3 linked regions of the Macaca mulatta genome follow. The protein of the gene in region 3 interacts with the protein of the main gene of each other region in a biochemical or structural test. Links are inferred from orthologs where the notes say so. Each region holds a gene or a part of one and is shown on either strand. Other genes may lie near its edges.

Region 1 (3,654 bases), on a different chromosome or scaffold from region 3:
AGTGTGCAGCCCCCGCAGCTGCAGCAGCTCTACCGCCACATGGAGCTGGAGCAGATGCATGTCCTCGACACCCCCATGGTGCCACCCCATCCCAGTCTTGGCCACCAGGTGCGTGCCACCGCCTGCCCCGTCCCCCAGGAGACTGCCAGGCCTGTGGTGGGGCCCGGGAGCTTCACAGGAAGCTGACACAGGCTCTTACCCAACTCGGCTTCCTGCCCCACAGCGCCAACGGCGGCTGGAGCCCCAACGGCTGCTGCCTGACCCCCCGAGTGACCTCGTGACCCCACACCCCTTATCTCATCTCACCCCGAGTATGGACAGACCCCAGATAATTCTTGCACCTCACCGAGCCTCCCCACCCCAACGCCTTGTTGTGAACCCTCGTGGGCCTCACTGTCTTCCACCCCCATTCACTTGCCCTCATGGATCCCACACCAAGTCACTGAACATGTCTACTGACCCTGCCTCTCCCCAGTGACCCTCCCTACTGACCCTAATCTGAATCAGTGACCTCTGCTGACCTCTACCACCCCTACTGGCCTCCAGGGTCCCTCCACCACTCATCACCCCACCTATCAAACCCCCTTCCAGACCCAATGCACCAGCCCCCAGCACCAGCCCACTGTGGGCCCACATAACACCTCAGCAGGGAGGGGAGCAAGCCACCGCTTCCCCGGTGCCCACAGCCCTAAACCAGGAGGCCCAGCTGGGAGGGCTGGGTGGGCTGGATGTCAGCACCCCTGGCCCCACAGCCTGCACCCTATGTGCAGCGCCTCAACTGGCCCCACTTTTCCCTGGCCTTCCTCCAGTCTCCTGTGCCTGCCATTGTCCCCTGCCTTCTGCACTCCTTCTCTCCCCAGCTAACCTCCCTCCCAGCCCCTCTGAGCTGTAAGCTGGCCCTTCCTGACTCTGATCTCCTTCCCCCACCGTCCAGGTCTCCTACCTGCCCCGGATGTGCCTCCAGTACCCACCCCTGTCCCCAGCCCAGCCCAGCTCAGATGAGGAGGAGGGCGAGCGGCAGAGCCCCCCACTGGAGGTGTCTGACGGCGAGGCGGACGGCCTGGAGCCTGGGCCTGGGCTCCTGCCTGGGGAGACAGGTGGGGCATCTGGCCCTCCACCCTGGCCCCAACCCTGGCTGTGTCTGTGCCCTCCCCCACCCAGCCAGGCCAACTGACCCAGCAGCCATGCCGCCGAGTTGCGTGTGTGTGTGTGTGTGTGCATGTTTGCCAATGTATGTGTTTTGTGGGGCTGTCTGTGGCCGTCTCTATGTGTGTGTGTGTGTGTGTATCTGCTGTGAGTGCATACAGGCATCTCCATGAAGTGTGCCAGGTGTGTATGTCTCTGTGCCATGAGTGTGTGTAGATCTGGGTGTGTGTGAGCAAGTGTGCAGAGTGAGTGTGTGTGTGAACAGATGTAGGCAGGTGCATGTGTGCAAGTGGCTGAGTGGGTGTGTGAGAAGGTGAATGTGAGAGCTGGTGTGGATGAGAGTGGGTGTGGCCATGTTTGTGTGTATCAACATATGAATGTATTTCAGTGTGTGTGAGTGGTTGTGTGCACGTGTGTGAGGTGTGCATGTATGATCATGTCAGTGGGTGTCAGCATTGTGTGGGTATGCGTGTGTGAGCAGGGATGTGAGCATGGTATATGTGAGTGGGTGTGAGCAGGCGTGAGTGATATGTGTGAGTGGGGGTATGACAGGTGTGTGAGCAAGTGTGTGTGTGAATGTGTATATAAGCAGGGATGTGTGTGATATAAGTGAGTGTGTGAATGGGCGTGTGTGTGTAGGTGTCAGTGGATGTGTGAGTGGATGTGAACATGTTTGAGGGTGTATGTAAGCAGGTGTGTGTGAGCAGGAAGGTGTGAGCTGGGGTGTGTGAGTATGTATCTGTATATGTGAGCAGGTTTGTGCATGTACGTGAGTGGATATGTGTTTTAGCATGTGTGAGCATGTGTGTGTTCTTGTGCGTGAGCAGGTGTATGTGGGGGGTGAGGGCATGCTTGAGCACCTGGGTGTGTGAGTGGGTGTGCATGTGAGTAGGTGTGCGAACGTGTGTGTGTGAGACAGAAGATATATGAATGAGTGTGTGAGAATGGGTGTGAGTGGGCTGGGCATGGTGGCTCATGCCTGTAATCCCAGCACTTTGGGAGGCTGAGGCAGGCGGATCACCTGAAGTCAGGTGTTTGAGACCAGCCTGGCCAACATGGCGAAACCCCGTCTCTACTAAAAAAAACGAACATTAGCTGGGCGTGGTGGTGAATGCCTGTAATCCCAGCTACTTGGGAGGCTGAGACAGGAGAATTGCTTGAACCCGGGAGGCGGAGGTTGCAGTGAGCCAAAATCATGCCATTGCACTCCAGCCTAGGCAATAAGAGCAAAACTCAGTCTCAAAAACAAGAGAATGGGTGTGAGCAGATGTGACATGTGAGCTTGTGAGCAGGTGTGTGAGCTGCTGAGTGGGTGTGAGAGCAGAATGTGTGTGAGCATGAGTGTGCAAGTGGGTGTCTGGTTGTGTGTGAACAGGTGTGTAAGCATGCAAGTGGGTGTGTATGAGTACAATGTGTGTGCATGCGTGAGCAGGTGTGAGTGAGGTGCAAGTAAGTGGTGTGAAATATGAGTGAGCAGGTGTCAATGAGGTGTGAATGAGCTGGTGTGAGCATTGTGAGTGCATGTGTGAGCAACTGTGAGGTGTGAGCAAGCCTGTGAGCAGGAATGTGTGAGGTGTGGGCATATAAGGTGTGAGCATGTGTGTGTGGGTATGTGTGGGCTGGTGTGTGAGTGGGTGTGATTGAGAGATGTGACCATGTGTGTGAGGTGTGATTATGTGTGAGGTGTGAGCATGTGAGTGGGTGTGAATGTGTGACGTGTAAGCATGAGTGGGTGTGTGTGAGGTGTGAGCATGTATGAGGTGTGAGCATGTCTGTGAGCATGAGCGTGTGAGCATGTGTGTGTGAGAGACGTAGTGTGAGGTATGAGTGTGAGTTGTATGAACAGGTGAGCATGTGAGCAAGTGTGAGTGGGTGTGTGTGAGTGAATGGTGTGAGGTGTGTGTGAGCATAAGTGTGTGAGCAGGGGCATGTGTGTGGGTGAGTAATGTGATGTGTGTGAGGTCTGTGTGTGCAAATATGTGTGTGAGCAGGTGTGGGCAGGTGTGACCATGTGTGAGTGGGTAGGTGTGTGTGTGAATGGTGTGAGGTATGTAAGCATGCGTGTGCTGAGCAGAGGCTTGTGTGTGTGAGGGTTAGCAATGTGAGGTGTGAGGGTGAGCAATGTGAGATGTGTAAGCAGGTGTGTGTTTGTGCAAGCATATATAAACAGGTGTGATTATGAGACCTGGTGTGAGGTGTATGAGCAGGCGTGTGAGCACATGAGTGTGTGAGACCTGGTGTGAGGTGTATGTGTGAGTGGGTGTGACTGGGCATGTGTATAAGTGTGAGAAGATGCATTGTGTGGGTGTGACCGTGCATCTGGGGGTGTGAGTAGGTCTGAGTGTGTGTGCATGTGAGTGGGTGCATTGCATGTGTTTGTGTGCATGTGAGTGGGTGTGAATGAGGTGTGAGCATGAGTGGGTGTGAGTGGGGTGTGAATGGGTTGTGAATGTGTAAGCAGATGTAGTGTGTGGGTTTGAGCATGCAGGTGGCTGCAAGCGTGCGAGT
Region 2 (3,654 bases), on a different chromosome or scaffold from region 3:
TCCCAAAGTGCTGGGATTACAGGTGTGAGCCAGCCTGGGCCTTTTTTTTTTGATATGGAGTCTTGCCCAGGCTGGGGTGCAATGGTGCGATCTTCCCTGCAGTCTCCACCTCCTGGGTTCATCTCCTGCCTCAGCCTCCCGAGTAGCTGGATTACAGACGCAAACAACCATGCCTGGCTAATTTTTTGCGTTTTTAGTAGAGACGGGGTTTTGCCATGTTGGCCAGGCTGGTCTCGAACTCCTGACCTCAGGTGATCCACCCGTCTCGGCCTCCCAAAGTACTGGGATTACAGGCATGAGCCACCATGCCTGGCCCCCCTTTTTTTTTTTTTTTTGAAACAGTCTTGCGCTGTCACCCAGGCTTGAGTGCAGCGGTGTGATCTCAGCTCACTGCAACCTCCGCCTCCCGGGTTCAAGTGATTCTCCTGCCTCAGCCTCCCATGTAGCTGGGATTACAGGCATGTGCCACCACAACTGGCTAATTTTTGTATTTTTAGTAGAGATGGAGTTTCACCATGTTGGCCAGGATGGTCTCGAACTCCTGGCCTCAGGTGATCCGCCCACCCCGGCATCTCAAAGACTGAGATTACAGGCATGAGCCACTGTGCCCAGCCAGGAACAATTTTTCCAATGGGTCAAAGTCACTTTGAATCAGAGCTCTGTTTACACACAACCTGGGTGAGTCATGCAAGTCGCTGGTAAAGAGAAAGGACAGATGACCCCCAGACCAAAACCACAGGGATGTCAGAGAATGCATCTCTGGAGCCAACCCCCAGACCTGGGGTTTTTCCTCCCTGGTCCATGACAGGCCTTCCTAAAGGACCTGAGAGGGCACTGTGGAGACTCCAGCGGAAGGTCCCTGCGTGGAGGCTGAGCAGGCCCTGAGTGCCTGAGGCATGAAGAGCTTGGGGGTGGGAGGTCCAAAGGGCAGGAGAATGACCTTGTTGAACTGTGACCAGGACACAGAACGGTGCTGGAAGGCCTCCATGCTGAGGCTGTTGTCATTGAAGATCTTCTGGGCCAGGAAGAGGAAGTGCTCTGGGAGCAGCCCCCGGTTGGTCCCCACCTCAGCCATGAACTTCAAGTTCAGAGTTTCACACATCTTCTCCCAGGGCACCCGCTCAGCCACCACAAAGGGCACGCGGTCCTGAGGAGAAGGGGGAAGAAGAGAGCATCAGAGGCTACCGTCTTGTTCTTCCTCAGGCCGGCCTTCATCCCTCCCACCTGCCTATGGCCTGCCCATCCACAGCACCTGATATCGCTCACGAACATGCTGTTTTTTCTAGGTTACAGTGCTGTGGCCTGATAGTTGTTAAGACTGGGGTGAAAAGAGGTCAGAAGTACGAAAGTAGGCCCATGAGAAGGTGTTAAGGTCACACCCATTTAAACATGCCTGCCACCCCATCAACAGGCCTGCACCACTGCCCATATTAGAACCCACCCTGCCCCTGTTCCCTCCAACTCCAGGAATTTCCTCACCATCTCAGAGAAGGCATTGTCCCACAGGATGGTGGCTTTGGCATTGTTGTCTTGGTTGCCATGGACGATGACCACCAGGGGCAGAGACAGGGCCTGAAGAGGGTGAGGACAGGGGTTTCTTTTCTTTCTTTCTTTCTTTCTTTCTTTCCTTTTTTTTTTTTTTTTTAAGATAGTATCTCACTCTGTTGCCCAGGCTGGACTGCAGTAGCACAATCTCAGCTCACCGCAGCCTCAGCCTCCAGGGCTCAAGTGATCCTTCCACCTCGGCCTCCTGAATAGCTGGACCTACAGGTATGGACCACCTAATCCAGCTAAGTTTTTATTTTTTATAGAGATTGGATCTCCCTATGTAGCCCAGGCTGGTCTTAAACTTGCAGGTTCAAGCAATCCTCCTACCTTGGCCTCCCAAAGTGCTAAGAATTTTTTTTTTTTGAGACAGAGTCTTGCTCTGTCACCCAGGCTGAAGTGAAGAGGCGTGATCTCAGCTCACTGCAACCTCTGCCTCCCGGGTTCAAGCGATTCTCCTACCTCAGCCTCCTGAGCAGCTGGGACTACAGGCCTGCACCACCACACCCAGCTAATTTATTTATTTATTTATTTATTTATTTTGAGACGGAGTCTCACTCTCACCCAGGCTGGAGTGCAGTGGCGCGATCTCGGCTCACTGCAAGCTCTGCCTCCTGGGTTCACGCCATTCTCCTGCCTCAGCCTCCCAAGTAGCTGGGACCACAGGTGCCCACCACCACGCCCAGCTAATTTTTTGTATTTTTAGTAGATATGGGGTTTCACCGTGTTAGCCAGGATGGTCTTGATCTCCTGACCTTGTGATCTGCCCACCTTGGCCTCCCAAAGTGCTGGGATTACAGGCGTGAGCCACTGCGCCCGGCCAATTTTTTTATTTTTAGTAGAGACGGGGTTTCACCATATTGGCCAGGCTGGTCTTGAACTCCTGACCTCCGGAGCTACCAAAGTGCTGGGGCTACAGGCCTCCCAAAGTGCTGGGGCTACAGGCGTGAGCCACCACGCCCAGCTGGACAGGGGTTTCTTAATAAAGCAAGAAGTTTCCTCAGGGGGCTGGCTCTGAGCACTCAGAGAAGTTACTGGACTCACACATCATAATCAAAAAGTTCATGCCATGTTATTAAAAGTTTTCTGAAGCTCAGTTAGGGCCTCACTCTAGAGAAGTGGTTATGAGTCACTGCTATGGAGCCAGACCTCCAGGTTTCAAATACCAGCTCCAACACTTAGCTGTGTGACTGGGACAAACTACTTAAACTGTGTCTCAATGTCCTTATCTATAAAATGAGGCTGATAATACTGCCTACCTCATAATGTTACTGTGAAAACCAAACGTGTGTGTGCTGGCACACATGTGTGTGTGTATCATTTAATAGAGAGACCTGGTCTATAGGAAGTGCTTCCTAAGTGTTTGCTGCTATCCGCTACCATTCCCTGCCCCGTGCGCTCCATGTTCTTGCTTCACCCCACTCACCCGGGCCCCAGTGTGCATGAATCCCAGACACATGGGGTATGGGGCAGTCACAGGAGGTGAGGGTCCAGGGACCCTGTGTGTGGCATTAGAGAAGGACTCGGGGTCCCAGATTGGGGTAGGGCTGGGCCACAGTTCACCTGGAGCTGGATGGGGAGTTTGCCGGGGCCAAGTGTGAAGCTGGCAGAGAAGAGCACAGCGCACTTCTCCTCTGTGACAGACTCAGTGCCCTTCCGCTCACACCGCTTGATCTTCTTGAGAAGCTGTGGGTGGGGTGAGGGAGAGCAAGGGCGAGTGCATGAGGACAGAGACCGCTCCTCTTGGGCTTCCCGACATCCTCTCCAAGGAGAGTCCCATAGTCTCCTAGTGGTGCCCCCCTCACTGCCCACTGCACCCCAAAGCCCCTCACCAGGTTCTTGAACAGGGCAGAGCAGCAGTTCCCAGGAATGCTGTTCTCCAAGGGCACAGTGTTGTTGATGATTTCTCCAGTGCTTTCTCTGCCAGGGGAGGTCAGAGTGTGAACAAGCTCATCTCACTGTGGCCAGCTGTGGCGACGCGCTTGAGTGCATGAGTGAGTGTAGACTACCCATTGTCGCCAGCCCTAAATCTCCACGTCTCTGTTTGGGTTCTTAAGGGAGGAGTCCCCATCTTGGCCAAGTCATGATGCCCCCACCCCATTCCAGCCC
Region 3 (2,332 bases):
GTGAGCAATACCAGGTAAAACTTACACCCCTAACATCAAAATTCCCATCATATTGTAGCTCTGATGCTATTTCTCATTGAGAACTGAAATGAAACATGGTTTAATCTTGAACATACAACCCCCCTTCTTGATTTTAAAAACAAAGACCAACCCACCAACCAATGTGTAATCCCATAGACTGAGGATTTCTCATGAGTTCTCTCCAGTGATTGACTTAACAATTGCTATGATTGTTGAAATCATGACTGATATGTTGTTAACAGCAGGAATTGCTAAATGACTAAATAAACTTGGCATAGATAAGCAGCATTTAAGAAGTTGATGATCGGCCAGGTGCGGTGGCTTACGCCTGTAATCCCAGCACTTTGGGAGGCCGACGTGGGCGGATCACGCGGTCAGGAATTTGAGACCAGCCTGACCAACATGGTGAAACCCCCCCTCTACTAAAAATACAAAAATTAGCCAGGTGTGGTGGTGCGCACCTGTAATCCCAGCTACTCAGGAGGCTGAAGCAAGAGAATCACTTGAACCCAGGAGTCAGAGGTTGCAGTGAGCCGAGATCGCACCACTGCACTCCAGCCTGGGCGACAGAGTGAGGCTCTGTCTCAAGAAAAAAAAAAAAAAAGAAAACAAAAGAAATTGATGATCAGCTCAGCTATACATCAATCCAATTTTAAGGGTGACTTGGATGAAGTTGCCGTCCTCTAAGTCAGGGAAAGATGGATCCCCAGATGATCCCGTCATCCTGAAGACGAGGCTGTGTGATCCGTAAAATGAATAAACACACATGTACACCTATGAGTTCCACTTTTACAAGTTATTAATTTAATTCATTTCAGGTACTCAGGAGTTTTGCTTAAGTCGCTATATATAAAATATAGACTTTAATATCGTGATTGATGGAGAGCATTCAGCTTGCCTTAGATGCTGTAAATTCAGGAAAAGCTGAACGTTAAGGTGTTTTTGTTTTTTGGTGAGCGTGATTCATGCTAATAACCAGACGGGATAAATTTGAGGCCAGTTAACTTCTCTTTTTCCACAAGAGTAGTTTTGTTGTTGTTTAACTTTACTTTTTATTTCTTTTACCTCTGGTTTAGAACGATACCGATTACCTAGAAATCAAATCATTCAGGATGAGCCCTTGTTTCTTTCAAACTGCAGTTGTGGAAAAACAAAATCATTGGCCTAAATTACCCTGCAGATTACCTCAGACTTCCTTTTCATTTAATCACTTTACTTGATTTGATTCAGTTTTAGTTAAATGTACATTTTAAGTGGCAGCTGATTTAAAAGTAACATCTTTAACCCAGAATTAAGTAGCTTTGGCTGTTTTTTTACATGTTGATCTATGGAAGGACTAACAAAAAAATTGCTTCTTTAGATGGCTCCATATATGAAATGTTTTGATGTGTTCTAGGACGTAACTTTGGGCTTTACATTACTGTCTGCTTAGAATCTGAGTGCTGTTTAATAGTGAGCCAGTTGCGGGATATCTCAGTAATGTCTTTTTAAAAATCTCTTATTAAAGGTAGAACCTCTGCTCGCCAGACAATTATATTATTTTGCTCAACAAAACAGTGGACATTTCCTGAGGGGCTACGATTTACCGGAACACATCAGCAATCCAGAAGATTACCACAGATCTATCCGCCATTCCTCCATTCAAGAATGAAAAATGTCAAGATGAGTGGTTTTCTTTTTCCTTTTTTTTTTCTATTTTTATTTTTTATTTTATTTTTTTGATACAGGGTCTTGCACTGTCTCCCAGGCCGGAGTGCAGTGACACGATCTCAGCTCACTGCGACCTCCGCCTCCCAGGTTCAAGAGACTCTCCTGCCTCAGCCTCCCTGGTAGCTGGGATTAAGGTGTGAGCCACTGCACCCACCCAACACAGACGATTTTCATTGTAAATATTTGACTTTAGTGAAAGCATCCAGTTGACTGCCCTCTTGCTGTTTTGAGGAACTCAGAAGTGAAGATTTCAGTGCAGTAGCTGAGGAGAATTGCCGCCAGACAACTGTGGAAAATCAGTGACATCTGATTGGCAGATGAGCTTATTCCGAAAGGAAGGTGGCTTTGCACTTCTTGCGCTCTGTAGACTGCCATCATTGATGATCACTGTGAAAACTGACCCCGTGATGTGTTTACATTTGCTGAAATGTGTTCTTTAATTTGATGTAGACTAGGTCTTGCTGGAGGACTGAGAACACTTGCCTTTCAGTGTTGACACTGACTGGAGCGATGACTGCAGGCGAGTCTGTACCATTTCTCAGGGAAGTAAGGTGTAAACGGAAGAAGCCTCACACATAGAAGAAATGTATTAATGTATGTA

Evidence for each region. The genes of interacting proteins can lie anywhere in the genome.
Region 1: the proteins of IRF4 (region 3) and SPI1 are reported together in a solved structure, tested with the Homo sapiens proteins (2 studies listed by BioGRID, with this or other methods). The link is inferred for Macaca mulatta from reciprocal best matches to the Homo sapiens genes IRF4 and SPI1.
Region 2: the proteins of IRF4 (region 3) and STAT6 form a complex in vitro, tested with the Homo sapiens proteins (2 studies listed by BioGRID). The link is inferred for Macaca mulatta from reciprocal best matches to the Homo sapiens genes IRF4 and STAT6.

Annotation. Positions count from the first base shown.
Region 1 is NC_133419.1:18,240,948-18,244,601, forward strand, and holds part of SPI1 (transcription factor PU.1), read left to right. Parts: coding exon 1-108; intron 109-934; coding exon 935-1,097; intron 1,098-3,654. UniProt on the Homo sapiens protein: Pioneer transcription factor, which controls hematopoietic cell fate by decompacting stem cell heterochromatin and allowing other transcription factors to enter otherwise inaccessible genomic sites.
Region 2 is NC_133416.1:64,257,910-64,261,563, forward strand, and holds part of STAT6 (signal transducer and activator of transcription 6), read right to left. Parts: intron 3,466-3,654; coding exon 3,378-3,465; intron 3,232-3,377; coding exon 3,109-3,231; intron 1,573-3,108; coding exon 1,480-1,572; intron 1,148-1,479; coding exon 941-1,147; intron 1-940. UniProt on the Homo sapiens protein: Carries out a dual function: signal transduction and activation of transcription. Involved in IL4/interleukin-4- and IL3/interleukin-3-mediated signaling.
Region 3 is NC_133409.1:182,855,465-182,857,796, reverse strand, and holds the end of IRF4 (interferon regulatory factor 4), read left to right. Parts: intron 1-1,528; coding exon 1,529-1,672; 3' UTR 1,673-1,773; downstream 1,774-2,332. UniProt on the Homo sapiens protein: Transcriptional activator. Binds to the interferon-stimulated response element (ISRE) of the MHC class I promoter. Binds the immunoglobulin lambda light chain enhancer, together with PU.1.